Linked DNA regions of Mus musculus. The main gene of each other region encodes a partner of the protein of the gene in region 3 in a complex. Links are inferred from orthologs where the notes say so. Each region holds a gene or a part of one and is shown on either strand. Other genes may lie near its edges.

What was found.
Region 1: Timm50 (region 3) and Timm23 share a complex: the UniProt entries of both Homo sapiens proteins name them as parts of the TIM23 complex. The link is inferred for Mus musculus from reciprocal best matches to the Homo sapiens genes TIMM50 and TIMM23.
Region 2: Timm50 (region 3) and Timm17b share a complex: the UniProt entries of both Homo sapiens proteins name them as parts of the TIM23 complex. The link is inferred for Mus musculus from reciprocal best matches to the Homo sapiens genes TIMM50 and TIMM17B.

The regions. Positions count from the first base shown.
Region 1 is NC_000080.6:32,198,727-32,203,432, forward strand, and holds the start of Timm23 (mitochondrial import inner membrane translocase subunit Tim23), read right to left. Parts: upstream 3,166-4,706; 5' UTR 3,023-3,165; coding exon 2,917-3,022; intron 302-2,916; coding exon 243-301; intron 1-242. Other genes in the region: Parg (poly(ADP-ribose) glycohydrolase), read left to right, coding at 3,520-3,739. UniProt on the Homo sapiens protein: Essential component of the TIM23 complex, a complex that mediates the translocation of transit peptide-containing proteins across the mitochondrial inner membrane.
Region 2 is NC_000086.7:7,897,867-7,902,500, reverse strand, and holds the start of Timm17b (mitochondrial import inner membrane translocase subunit Tim17-B), read right to left. Parts: upstream 3,166-4,634; 5' UTR 3,058-3,165; coding exon 3,032-3,057; intron 2,825-3,031; exon of another isoform or gene 2,736-2,824; intron 1,541-2,735; coding exon 1,441-1,540; intron 1-1,440. Other genes in the region: Pqbp1 (polyglutamine-binding protein 1), read left to right, coding at 3,259-3,332, 3,865-3,950. UniProt on the Homo sapiens protein: Essential component of the TIM23 complex, a complex that mediates the translocation of transit peptide-containing proteins across the mitochondrial inner membrane.
Region 3 is NC_000073.6:28,308,883-28,313,444, forward strand, and holds the start of Timm50 (mitochondrial import inner membrane translocase subunit TIM50 precursor), read right to left. Parts: upstream 3,165-4,562; 5' UTR 3,151-3,164; coding exon 3,043-3,150; exon of another isoform or gene 2,937-3,042; coding exon of another isoform or gene 2,772-2,936; intron 2,267-2,771; exon of another isoform or gene 2,208-2,266; intron 2,138-2,207; coding exon 1,987-2,137; intron 1,879-1,986; exon of another isoform or gene 1,446-1,878; coding exon 1,414-1,445; exon of another isoform or gene 1,219-1,413; coding exon 1,197-1,218; exon of another isoform or gene 958-1,196; intron 1-957. UniProt on the Homo sapiens protein: Essential component of the TIM23 complex, a complex that mediates the translocation of transit peptide-containing proteins across the mitochondrial inner membrane. Has some phosphatase activity in vitro; however such activity may not be relevant in vivo.

The DNA of each region.
Region 1 (4,706 bases), on a different chromosome or scaffold from region 3:
TGCACCACCAAGCTTCAGCAAATTCCACTTAGTTTATATTGTATTTTTAGCTATGCTGCCTAGACAATTCTGAGAAGTAGAGAGAATGGAAATGTCTGTATCGCCCCTGATCTTGAGGGATCATGACTCAGTCTCTTATTGTCAAGAATGACATTAGCTGTGGATGTTCTGTGGATGTCATTTAATAGGTTGAAGAAGTTGTGGTGGTGCACACCTTTAAACTAGTAAAAGCTTTATCTTACCTGAACGAGATAGCGTGGATCCACATTTAAATAAGGAGACAGGGGGTTCATACCAGTCACTAGAGAGAAAACAGAATGTCACATCGCAACAAAATCCACACAAAGATTTCATATAGGACTCAGCTAACGGTTACACACTGTGAAACTCAATGAATGTAAATTTTCTTTGGGAATTAGGCCTTGCCCCATGCCCTACATTTTCATAAGATATTGGCACTAATATCAAATCATAAAACTCCTAGAAAAATTAGCTTAGTGTTATTCCTGTTTTGGTTTATGTTTACCCTTCCTTTTCACATTCACACATTTCCTTTAGTTTGTGTGTGTGCTAGTGTGCATGTGGAGGGCTCACTGGAGTCCCTTCCACCTACCAGTTTGGTTCTAGGGATTGGACACAGGACACCAGGCTTGGCACAAAGTGCCCATACCCACTCCTCCCCACCTATGTTTGTATGTATGTATGTATGTATGTATGTATGTATGTATAAGCAGTTTCCTTAACTAGCATAACAGCCAAGTATAAGCAGTCTCTCAGGGAAAATAGTAGTTGGGTTAGTTAGTTTGTTTGTTTAAAGATTTATTTATTTTTTTTATGCATGTGAGTACACTATAGCTGTCTTCAGACACACCAGAAGAGGGCATCAGATGGTTGTGAGCCACCATGTGGTTGCTGGGAATTGAACTCAGGACCTCCGGAAGAGCAGTTAGTGCTCTTAACCACTGAGCCATCTCTCTAGTCCTAGGTTTTTGATTGTAGAAAAGTCTATCAAAGCAGATCGTCCACATCACATTTCTAACAATCTTGCTAACAGAATCTCTTTATTACGGCAAGGAGACTCTCTGCTTTCACCCAGAGATGAAGCTTAATGGAACAGAAAATACAGACTTTCAGGTTAACTTTAAATCTACCAACTTTGAAAACAAAAAATAATCTAGCAAGAAAAATTAATGTTCATAGATTTTAAATATACTATTTGGGGTCCTTTTGTATCTTGGTTGATTGCTCACAAATGTATGCACTAAGCATGATTCTATTGATCAATTCTTTTTTTTTTTTTTTTTTTTTTTTTTGGTTTTTCGAGACAGGGTTTCTCTGTGTAGCCCTGGCTGTCCTTGAACTTAGAAATCCGCCTGCCTCTGCCTCCCAAGTGCTGGGATTAAAGGCGTGCGCCACCACGCCCAGCCTATTGATCAATTTTAAGTCCTGTTATTTCAGACTTCCAATTGTTACACAAGCATCCCATCTCATACCAACCATTTCTTACTTTCTCTTATCCCTTCAACACACTTTCTCTGTAGAAATTATGAAATCAGCCCTAATGGCTTTCATCTACAATTAGATCAAATCTAATCCCCCCTTCCTTGCTTATAAAAGCTTGTATTTGTTGCTGTTTCCTGCCTCTCAACTCTTTTTTTTTTTTGGTTTTTCGAGACAGGGTTTCTCTGTGTAGCCCTGGCTGTTCTGGAGCTCACTTTGTAGGCCAGGCTGGCCTCGAACTCAGAAATCCGCCTGCCTCTGCCTCTCGAGTGCTGGGATTAAAGGCGTGTGCCACCACGCCCGGCTTGCCTCTCAACTCTTACAATCAATCTTGTATCAGTTCATTCCCTTGCAACTCTAAAGACAAACTGACCCAATAGCTTCTCAAGAAACACAGCAGGTTTGTTCTGTCTCTCAAGCACTTGTTGCTAAATTCAGGTCACAGCTCTAACTTCAACTCCCAAGCTGTTTTCTCTAACCTGTTCTCCAACAACCTTCACGGCCCATCACCACCACCACCATCTCAGGGTCCTATTTCAATTGCCATGTCATCTATCACTAACTTCTGTGTCCTCACGTTACTCTCCTCAGTAGTATGTGTACTCTCTCACCTTAAGTAGTGCCCTTCATGTTATGCAACTGAGATATCCTAAGATACACATAAATTGTGTCCTGGACTCAAGTTTTGACAGCAGACATTAGGGTTATCAAACGGCTTTCTGAATGTTTTTAAGTGTAAAGGTTTTACTTAGAGGATTAGCAAGAAGAAACACTTTAGTAAAGTGTTATTAAACATTAACTCCCAAGCTCTACTTATCCAGTCGAATATCCATAATTACAAAACATTAAAAGCCTGAAAGACATACTTAGGTGATTGAGAAGGGCCAACAGGCTGGGAATTCATGCCTCTGCATCTTTGAATTTGCTTATATCGCTTTCAGAATTTGGCTCTTTTTTCTTGTTTAAAAATCTCTTAAAAGTTTCGTTTGCTTCCCCAGCTCCTTCTGATTTCCTGAATTGTCTCTCACACGCACAAAGAACGAAAAATGTTTTCGCCTAACTGGTTTAGAAATATTTAAAAGCCGTGTGAAAAAAAATTAATAGCGCGCTTGTTATTTGGAATGTTTATTTCTAGAACTAGGGTCTCCTAACAGGGCCAAGCATACAGAAAAGCGTGTGACGAGAAAAGACGGGACGGGGCACTAAAGAGGAGGACATTTTGTGTTTCCTCTCGAAACTAGGTCACTAAAAGAGCTTCCCGGGGATTTACGATCCCCCAAATTCGTTCAGCCTTGAAACCCAATCACCGGCGGTGAATCTCGTAAAGGCGAGCAGGAAAAGGGACAGGAACGTTACACATTTCTAGCTGTCCCAGGAAGGAGTCAGAAAGGGGAGCAGGCGAGGCCCGATACTCACGCGGGACGCCGGCCAAATCAGCGTTCGAGTAACCCGCTCCTCCGGCTCCGAAGAAGCCAGCTAACCCGCTGGTGGATTTGTTGCTACTTCCTCCGCCACCTTCCATGAGGTCGCAGCAAACGGCGGTGGGCTCGCCACCACCACCTCAGGCCGGGGACGTATGCTCGGCCGTGGCCGCGACAAGCAACAGCGGGAAGACCCGCGTTGCTCCTGCCACCTTCACCACGCTGACCTTCCGGGCGCCGGCTCCCGTGAAGTATCGCACTTCCGCTTTACGGCTGTGTGCGGCCCGGAAGTGGGAAGCGCGAGACGGCTGCTTTCCGGTGGTGGGAAAGTGAGCCTGGAGCCGGAGCCCGATCTCGAGCCGAGTGGAAGCGGCGCGTCCCGGGGCTGGTGGGCTCCCTGCTGCCGAGCGGAGGCAAGCGGCTGCGCAGCGAGGGTCTCGCTCGAAGGCCCGAGGAGTGGCAGCCTCCAGGCGGGCCGCTGCGGAGAGGGAATGGTGCGCGGCGCGCCGAGAAGGAGGCGCAGTCCGTCCCTGTCCGGGTTAGTGAATGAGGCTCTCCGCCCGGGCCGGCCCGGGGACTGTGTGCTGCGGGTCCCAGCATGAGTGCGGGCCCCGGCTGGGAGCCCTGCACGAAGCGGCCCCGCTGGGGCGCCGCTGGAACTTCTGCGCCGACTGCCTCGGACTCCCGGAGCTTCCCTGGCAGGCAGAGGCGTGTTCTCGACCCCAAGGACGCTCCCGTCCAGTTCAGGGTCCCTCCGTCCTCGCCAGCCTGCGTCTCGGGGCGGGCGGGACCGCACAGAGGCAACGCCACCTCGTTTGGTACGTGGGAAAAAAAAAATCTTTGTCCTTGTTTCAGTGTGAGGACCAGGAGACTCCAGTCACTCCTAACTGATCTTGTTTCCACCACTCTGATGACCCCGATGTTCAATCACTAGATGCCACTCCAATGAGAGGCGCTACAGTTTTACTAGTGGCATGTGTGTTGTGGAAAACTTTGTTGGACAGGTAGTTACCGGACCTCCCCGGGATACTTTCCTCAGCTTGGATAGAGAATTTGCCCTGTTAAGGAAGTCTAGTTGTGTATGTGAAGCAGAAGGGCGCTTCAGTCTCCAAAAATCGTAAAGAAAGTTGTTGCAGTAGACTCAGTGAGAGCTGACTTCCAGAGTGCAGAGCTGTTAGCCTTAGCTTGCTGGATTGTATTTGTCCCTGGCACACGATGTTGAACACGAGGAACTTGGTCTCTTCTTTCGTACCTTGAAATCTGTGAGGAGAGAGAAACAATAGCACAAGTCAAATACCTGTAACAGAGAGTAATGGATGTTGTTGTTCATGAAGGAGCCATTGTTTTGGTAGGAATTAAGTATACTTAAGTTAGTTATGGTAGTCCAGAAGGTTTGGTACTTACTGTGAGTACTGGAGAAGAAAGTAAAGAGGTACTTCAGATATGCAGTGGGTGCGCAGAATCAACGGTGGAATGGTGAGAGATGGGCTGCAGAGAATTAGGACAGTGATCCTACTCTGCTGAGTAAGTGTGGACAGTACTAAGGATCTTGAATTTTACATTTTCAGGGCAGTGAGAGGCTATTAAAGAGTGTTCAGTTGTGTGAAGGGGCGGGGTAAGGCAAGGACTTGGTTAGTCTTGTTTTCTTGAACTGTCTGTATATGTTTGGTGTATGGAAAATGGAAAAGAAAACCTGGTTGAAATCTCAGGACTAAAGGAGTTGGTCTAGATGGGGGATGCTTTACACTTAGACCCTGCTGCAGGCAGCAGTGAACAGAAGTGGAT
Region 2 (4,634 bases), on a different chromosome or scaffold from region 3:
AAAAAAAGAACAACCGCCCTAGGAAGAGTGACAGTGAGCAAGGAGCAAAGTGAACCTGCATTAGAGGAACCTGTGAAGGAGGCTGAGGCTGCAGCTCGGCAATATTCTTAGCATGCAGGATGGGAAGATGGAGGTACCAGACTCCATTCCTTAGTGCAGAAGAAAAAAAGAAGAGGGCGCAATACGTGCGAAGATTCCCAAAAATGAGAACTATGGACAAAGGTGCAGGAAGGAGAGTTCTAGGAGCTGAGGACGACTCCGAGCAAGACAGAAAGGCTACAGAACCAGGTATGCTGCCAGATGCCTGGAATGCTAGTACTTGGAAAGCCGGGACAGGAGGATTTGAAGTTGTGTGCCAACCTGTGCTGCGGAAAACGGTTTGTGTGTGTCTGTGTGGAATATACACATGACCGTGCAGGTGTGTGAACATGTGGAAGTCAGAGTATCTCACTGAACCAACTTCTAGCTAGGCTGACTGGCCAGCAAGCTCTAGGGATATATATGCCTGTCTTGTGTTCCATCACCTCCACCACTGTTAGAGGCATAGTAAGCATGCCTCATGCTTGCTACCAAATCCAATGAGCCTTCTATCTTCAAGGGGTGGGGCTCAAAGGAAAGGTATTATATTACTCTCTCCTTCAACTTAAAGGTTCTTTCTGCCAGGCAGTGGTGACGTACGCCTTTAATCCCAGCACTTGGGAGGTAGAGGCTGGCAGATTTCTGAGTTTGAGGCCGGCAGCCTGGTCTACAGGGTGAGTTCCAGGACAACCAGGGCTATACAGAGAAACCCTGTCTCAAAAAATCCAAAAAAAAAAAAAAAAAAAAAAAAAAGAAAAAGAAAAAGAAAAAAAAAAGGTTCTTTCTGCCCAACTCCTGTCATTTTCCTGTATAGAGGATTTTTTGAGGGGGGGTGGGGGAGACAGGGTTTTTCTGTGTAGCCCTGGTTGTCCCAAAATTCACTCTGTAGACCAGATCTGGCCTCAACTCACAGATCTGACTGCCTTTACCTCCCAAGGGCTGGGATTAAAGGTGTGTGGCACCACCATCCATATAGAATTTTATCCCAAAGACTGTCTTGTGGTAAAATCTACGGTGTATACACATTGAAAATTTGATGCTAACCCTTTTCTTTTTATTCTAATTCTAAGGATGGAACTGTGGGCACCCCACACACACATACACACCCACCCACTTGCTTAAATCAACTGTTCTACCACTGAGCTAAATACTTCTAGCCCCTAAGACTGTTTCTGACAGTACAGTATTTCCAGAGTTCTAGCTGGATAGTTGAAGAACAGAATCCCTCAAACCCTAAATCCAGAAGCCAGGCCCAACACACAGTAGGTGAACAATCAACAGAATGTTCAGTATGCTCAGAGCAGTACTCCTATGTCAGCAAGACCGCAGATTCCCACACCACTGGAGGAAGGCCCAACTCACAACAGGGGCATTGCGGAAGCCCTTGATAGCCTGGAAGACTCCACCACCAATGACACCCATGGTGAAAGCTCCACCGCAATCATCCACAATTCGCCATGGGCTGCAAGCAGGAAGGAAAAGATTGGGTTAATGTGAGACCCTGCCCTGCTTGGAGAACCAAACAGGGAAGCTCAGGACTGATGCAGAACACCTTAGATGACAACAAATTAGTTCTGACACTTTTTATATTCCCCAGAAAGCCAGAAAGGAAAACCAGATGTGTTTCTGCACACCTGTGATCAACACTTGGAAGGCTGAGACAGGAGGATCACAAGTTGGCAGTCCAACTTGGGCTCTAAATGGAGACCCTGTCCCACAAAGAAAGTTTGTGCCTTTTAATACCAGCACTCTGAGGTCAGAGGTCAGCCTAGTCTAGTCAGTTCGAGGCCAGCCAGGGTTCTATAGTGAGATACTGTCTCAAAACAAACAAACCCCAAAAGAAAAGGTTTGTAAATCTATCTGTGGTACAAAAGTGAGAAAACAATTTGGGATGGGGGAGGTGTCTCACCACATAGCCTTGCAACGATGGGTTTACTACTGGCAGAGCAGTGCTCTTGATTACAAGCAAGCGTCAATACAACTGTTTTTGTCATTATCAAAAATCAAATGGCTTTGGAATCTAGGTCCCCTGTCCCCCACAATCTGTCTCTTGCTTAAATCAACTACTCTACCACTGAGCCCCTATGACTGTTTCTGACAATACAGTATTCTCAGAGAGTTCTACGTGAAACTAGATTTGAAGAACAGAGTCCCTCAAATCCTAGAACCAGGAGCCAAAAACAAAATGGTTTTTGTTACTATCAAAAATCAGTAAGAGTTGTCATGTGCCTGGCAGGGGTGGTTCACGCCTTTAATCCCAGAACTTGGGGGGCAGAGGCAGGAGGATTTCTTAGTTCAAGACTACAGAGTGAGTTCCAGGACAGCCAGGGCTACACCACAGAGTAACCGTGTCTGGGAGGGGGGGGGGGGAGTTGTCGTGTCAGGCTTCAATAGTGTTAACTAGCAAACGTTATTTAAGTAAAATATAAACAGGGTGACTGACACTCGGTTCGACACAAAAAGCACGTCCAGAGAAACCCTTGTGTCCTTTTAAAACCTAAATCGGACAAATCAAAAGACCGTGCGGAAAAGCCAGGTGCCATCTGGCTTAGCCCACAGTGAGTTCACACATGCCCTATCCTATGTCAAAAGCCAGCCTGAGAAAAGCGACACGAAGAAACCCTGTGGATATTGGCTCCACGCCTCTCCTCCCTCACCGCCGGAATGGATCTGCCCAGCGTTTCTCTTTTGGCTCACAAAGGGGGTCTAGGAGAAGAGCCAGGGCAACAGTGCGATAGTTTGTCCCACACCGCACATACTGGGACACTCCACGGTGGCGGTTTTTTGACGAAGTCCGAGTGGGAGGGGCCATGCCGGATGCGCAGAGGCAGTGAAGTTTCCGAGCCTCCCGGGTCAGGGACTTGACACTGCAGCCCCTGCCTTCCCCGCCCGCCTCCCGTTGTCCGCCTGAGCGTCGCGCGGACTGTCCCGAAGCCTGTGCCCATCGCCGTACCAAGGTTCGCGAGCGTACTCCTCCATGGCGCCAGAGTCCGGCCTGGCGCAGTCGGTGGCGCGGGCGAGACACTCCCCCCGTCCCCCTCCCGCTCCGAAACGCCCACAAGCTCTGAGGCGCTGTACGTAGACCAAGGGAACAATTGGTTCTTCTCTGCTTACGTAAGGCCAACGGCGCGCTCTTATTGGCTAGCCAGAAGGGCCACATCCGTTCCATGTAAGCGTCGGATGCGACCAGTTAATTGCACCTGGGGAGAGTCGAGGAGCCTGTTGTGCTTTAAACCAAGAGCCCTTCGGTGTTGGTAAGCACTGTGCCAATGAGGGAGAGGAGGGTAAGGAGATAGACTTTGACTAATCGCACAGTTGTACTGGTAAGGCTGGGGTGTAAGCTTTCTTTTAAAGCTGGAGATGGCGTTGGCATTGTATCTCCCCCATCCTAGCGCCTTGGTTCCGCCCACCGTGCGGACTTTGAGGAACGTTGGGTGATCCCATTTCTGGGTTGCGGGTGTGTGGCACTTGGTCCCTTGGGTGATGGGTGGAGCCTTGGTCTAGAGAGGAACTGGGTCTTTGGTCCATCCGGTCTCCAGTGCCTGGGTCCGGAGAGTTCTGCTGATCCTAATTCTGGCCATATTGCTACATATCTCTTTTATCTTTTAGCACGCATTTTTGTTCTCTTCCAGCTACTGTTGCAGTTACGTAGGTGTGTGTGTGTGTGTGTGTGTGTGTGTGTGTGTGTGTGTGTGTGTGTGTGTGTGAACACACGCGTGGTTACTGGCTATCCAGATTGAAATGTTAATCAGATCTGCCCTTCAGTACTGTCTTGTCTGTTTCTAGGTCTGGTCAGCTACCCACTATGCCGCTTCCTGTTGCGCTGCAGACCCGCTTGGCGAAGAGGGGCATCCTCAAACATCTGGAGCCGGGTGAGAAAACTAAAAGCAGATGCATCTATCATGTGCCAGTGTTAATAGACGTTCTGCTGTTTATTCTATTCTTTATTCCCCCTTTTCTCCGCCCCCTCCCGCCCCTGTCGAACCTAGGTGTTTGCTAAGTAAGTGCTCTGCCATCTTCTGCCGTCCTAGTGTGCATCTTCCCCCGCCCCCTTGTACTGCTGGGGTTAGACCAGAGCTCTTGGATGCGCTCTATTGAAGTATATCTCCTTGACTGGCACCTTGGTTTTGATACTTGGTATCTTGCATGGCCTGGCAGGCATCTCGTTGTCAATATAATTTTTTCTGATATTCATTACTTCTTCGTGGTTGGTGGGTGCTGTGTGAAGTGTAAGGCTGGAGGGATAGCTTTAATTTAAGTCATGAATCAAGTGGACACGGTGGCAGGTACAAATATCTCAGGTACTAAGGAGGCTGAGCTACAAACATGGCTTGAGTCCAGGAGGTCAAGGCCAGACATGGCAATTTGGCAAGACCCAGTCTTCAAAAAATAAAAAACAAATAGACATAAGTATGGTGGCATTCATCTGTAGTCCCCAGCATGGCTGGGGCAGGTAAAAGGGATCACAGGAGACAGCCTGGTTTACATACTGAATTCTAGGCCAGATATACATGTGTCTGTGTGTGTATGTACACATGTATATATGTGTATATATA
Region 3 (4,562 bases):
CCCATGTCAAGAGGATGACAAACACCTGTTACTGTAGCTGCAAGGGACCCAAAGCTCTTATCTAGCCTTTGAAGGCATCTGCATCCATGGGTCAGCACACACGCACCTCATTTTAAAATGAGACAGCAGTGAGGACGCAGAGCCCTTGCCCAGCACCCATCCTCCAACCCCAGCAGCCACTGTCCTAATAAAAACCATCAGTGTTAGAGCCAAGGGTGAAAACTCTGGGTTAAATGAACACAGGAAAATCAATGGAAATATTTCAATATGTTATTCTTACTCTAGCTCTATCTGTGAGCCTGCCTCTTAAAAGACACAATGTTGAAGCCAGTTTAAACTAGTAGGCACACTTTAACCTCCCATGTCTACCTGCCCAATTTAGGTAATTTGTTTAAACCAGTGGAGAGCAGGGCATGGTGGTGTAGGCCTTTAATTCCAGCAATTGGGAGAAGAGACAAGTGGATCTCTGTGGGTTTGAGATTAGCCTGGTCTACACAGTGAGCTCCAGGACAGCCAGGGCTACATAGAGAGACCCTGTCTCAAAAACAAATAAATAAGAAAAAAAAAAGATAAAACAAGGGGGTTGGCCTCTCCAGTTAAAAGAACAGACTTACCCATCTGCCTAGCATGAACAGAGCGGTCAGTGCTTGTACATGCTGTCTGCAGACCTCCCACACAAACAGGGGCCTTTCGGACCCACAAACGTCACCTTCTCTAAGAAAAGGTCCGGTAAAAACCACAACTATTCCACTATCGAATTTATTGGAAGTCCCTTAACAAACTCTGGTAGTCGGGGTGTGTGGAGAAGCAGGGCAGAGACACAGACACAGACACAGAGAGACACTGTTTTGGAAATGAGGCATGGGTTGGAGTAGGGACTTGGGGATTTAAAAAAAAAAAAAAGGTGTTATAAAAGAGTGGGGTCAGGGGCTGCAGATGCCAAATCTAAGGCACAGAAAGCCCTGTGTCTGGGATGGACTGCTGACGCTCCCTGCCCCCATCTGTCCCTGACCATCTGCTCCAGGGCGGTGGGGCCGCGAAAGGGAGCTTTTGTCACGTCTGTCCCCTGAGCCATCTAACTGCCACACCTCGGATGGAGGAGGGGTTGGTGTATGAGACAGGCCAAGAGCACTCTACAGGAATAAACAGAGCAGCAGAGGTGGGAAGGAAGCCCAGCTCTGTGTTTAATCACTCACCGCTGTCGAATTCATCAGGAATCTGGGGAAAAAAGGAAAGGTTTGAACCGGCAGAGGCAGGAGCCCAGCACATTCAGTCTGCGAGTTCCAGGCTGAGTCCCAGAGAAGAAGGGAGAGGCTCAGTGCAGACTATAGAGAGCCTGACCCAATGGAAGGCAACCTGCCCCGCACCCTCACAGAACCGACCCCTCACACCTCTGCCTCTCACTCTCCTCACCTTGGTACCATTTTCATCCACAGGGTTGTTTCCTGCCAGGGAAGGAGACAAGAGACAAATGAAGAAAACTGGAGCCTTGGAGCAGTGTCTACTGGGTCTGGAGGGGGGAGGAGAGTGAGGGGTGGGGACTCCCCACTCAAAGGGATTATGGCTAGAGGCACAGCTCCTGGATAAAGGGAGGAAGAGGTTAGGGGTCAGGATTCCAAGTGGGCTGGGGCTGAGCTGGACACACAAGGGGAAGGTAGACTTCTGCTGCTGAGATGGACACATAGCTTCAGGCACGGTGACAGGTTATTTCTCCACCAATACGAACCGCAGTCCCTTGTCCCAGGACTGAAACCAAGCACACTGGTCTAGCCCTACTCTTCCCACCATTCCCTTAGTTCCTGAATTCAGGTACAGGGAACAACTAGAGGATAGAACTTTTAAGTACAAGGGGTCGAAGAGGACTTCTTGAATTTCAAGGTGAGTATCCTAGTTGGAGGAGCCAGGTAATGAACTGAGTATGGGGAAAGAAAGGGGGGGTTCACAGTAGAAATCTGGGGGCCAACAGTCAAGGGTTATGTCTCTCACCAAAAATATAGACGATGCTGACAGTCCCACCAGCTCCGAGCAAACCGGCGATCCAGAGCGCAATTTTTTTGGCATAGCTGGGACCCTCGGAGCCTGGCTGGTGCTGTGGCCCCTGGGCCTTGGAGCCCCCACGGTTGGCAATTTCAGTGACCTGAGTGGAGGGGGATGGAGGAGAGGTCACACAGAGAGAAATAACAGAATACTTAAATTTGTCCAAGCAGCCTCAAGATCAAGAACCAGGAAGTGGACATCCAGAGCAGAAAACTGTGTCCCTGAAGGGGTGAGTTCAGAGGCTGCTCCCCTCAGACAGTCACAACTAAACTGTCTAGAGAATCACAGGGGTTCAAGAGCTGAAAGGGCAAATTGCTCAAGGTCTTGGAAGCAATAGCACTGCAGGGTCTGGAGCCAGGAAGAGTAGGGCAAGGAGAATAAGGGATGGGTGTGTGTGTGTGTGTGTGTGTGTGCGCGCGCGCGCTAGCACAGAGATGTCAAAACTAAAGGGACAGAGGGCACCCAAGGGACAGAACGAACAGTTAAGATATCCGGATACCCAGAGCCCAAGATGGAGGGGTTTGGAAGGGAAGGAAGCAAGAGCGAGGAGAGGCAATCTCCTGTCTGGGACTTTGGGAACGGAAAGTCATGGACTTGGAGGTCAGAATGGCTAGGCTGGAACGGACGGCAGGCTGGATCCTTCCTGTTCCTCTCGCTCAAGGAGGCGATTGAAATGTCACTGGGACAGACCCTGGGTCCCTAGCGCCCTGGGCCCCACCCCCGTCAAGTATCACCTGAATGGTCACCGAGATCAGAACAGGTGACCTCTCCCGGCACCCACGTGGTTGAGACCTGGGCTCCAGGGGATGCACTCCGGGCCTCCATAATCCAGCCCCGGGGGAGCAACTGTGGTCCACACAGGAAGCATGGAAACATCGAAAACGCGGGCTCCGTCCCATTCAGCACCCTGAGGTGCGGTCTCCCAGACCCGCCGGGGTTGCCACCAGACGCCCAAAACTTTAGAGAGAAGCCCCATATCGGGGCGCGCGTCCCGGCGCCGCTCACCTGCTCGGGAGTGCGGGGAGGTGGCGGCGCTAGCCGCGTGCACAGCCCCCGCGCGCCTACCCGGAGCCCGCTCCGCAAGCGCGAGAACAGAGCCGCCGAGGCCGCCATCTTGCGCTGACGCCACGCGGCCCCGCCCACTCGCTCCCTCTCTCCCGCCCAGGCGAGGACTACGACCAATGGGATCGCTGAGGTAGTGCGTGTGGACAGGAACCCGAGAGGGACAAAAAGAACTGGGCGGAGTACCTTTGGTGCGCTCCTAGTCGGTCTTTCCTCTGGCTGAGCGCGAAATTGGAATACTGTCATCTGGCACCACGCCCCCTGGGGCCCTAAGGACCGCCACCATCCAGTCGCTCGGACTTTGCCTTTCACCTCCCATCGTTAGAAATGGACAGAGGCCCAAAAAGTGAGCTGACCCAGCATCCCTCAGTTTTTCTCACGTGGACCAGGAGGCTGAACCAGTCTTCTTTCCCGTCTCCAGATCTCTTTTTACCCCTAACGCCGTGAGTTTGTAGAAAGGACTGGAGTATCTTTCCTTTGCCCAACCACTCATTTGGATCTACCACTCATCTGGATTCAACCAAAGGAACGTTCCGTGCTGACTTGTTTAGGCTTTAGAGTGATTAAGAAAGCAGTGAATTAGGGGTGCGGGAGCCACCATGAGTCTTGCCCAAGTTGTTTTCTATTTGTTTGTTTATTCATTCCTTTATTTGTTTAATCATTTATTATTCACTCGTTCATTCACTCATTTTAAATGTATGAGTGCACTGTCTGCAGGTACAATTGCATGCCAGAAGAGGGGATCATATCTCTTTATAGATTGAACTCAGACCCTCTGGAAGAACAGCCAGTACTCTTAACCGCTGAGCCATCTCTCCAGCCCCCACAAGTTGTTTTCAATGGGAAAAAAAAAGTCAGATTTTTACACTTAAACTTTAAAAATCCAAAGTACTGCAGGGCATTGGTGGCACATGCCTTTACTCCCAGCACTGGGGAGGCAGAGGCAGGCAGATTTCTGAGTTCGAGGCCAGCCTGGTCTACAGAGTGAGCTCCAGGACAGCCAGGGCTACACAGAGAAACCCTGTCTCCAAAAAAAGACACCCACCCACCCACCCAAAAAAATCCAAAGCACTAAGATAGTAAAACTACAAAGTTGGGCAAAGGAAAGCCACACAGAATTCAGAGCTGTTATTTCTGGAGTGGAATGAAATGGATTGGGGTGCTGCTTAAGTGTGCTCAGTCAGCCTCATGCCACAGGGCGTGGTCAGAAGACAACTTTCAAGAGTCGGCTCTCAGCTTCCACCGAGAGTCCAAGGAATCAAAGTTGAGTCATTTGAACTAGGCTGTTTTCCTCACATTAACTTGGGTGAAAATGCCCGTGGTCAAAACACTGCCTTGACATGGTAAGTCTTGTTTGCCTTATATTGATATAACTGTGTGGAGGGAACATAGGTATTCATGAAATATATCTTCATTTTTTAAAAATTAGGTTTTGGGGTTTTTTTGTTTTTTGTTTTTTTTTT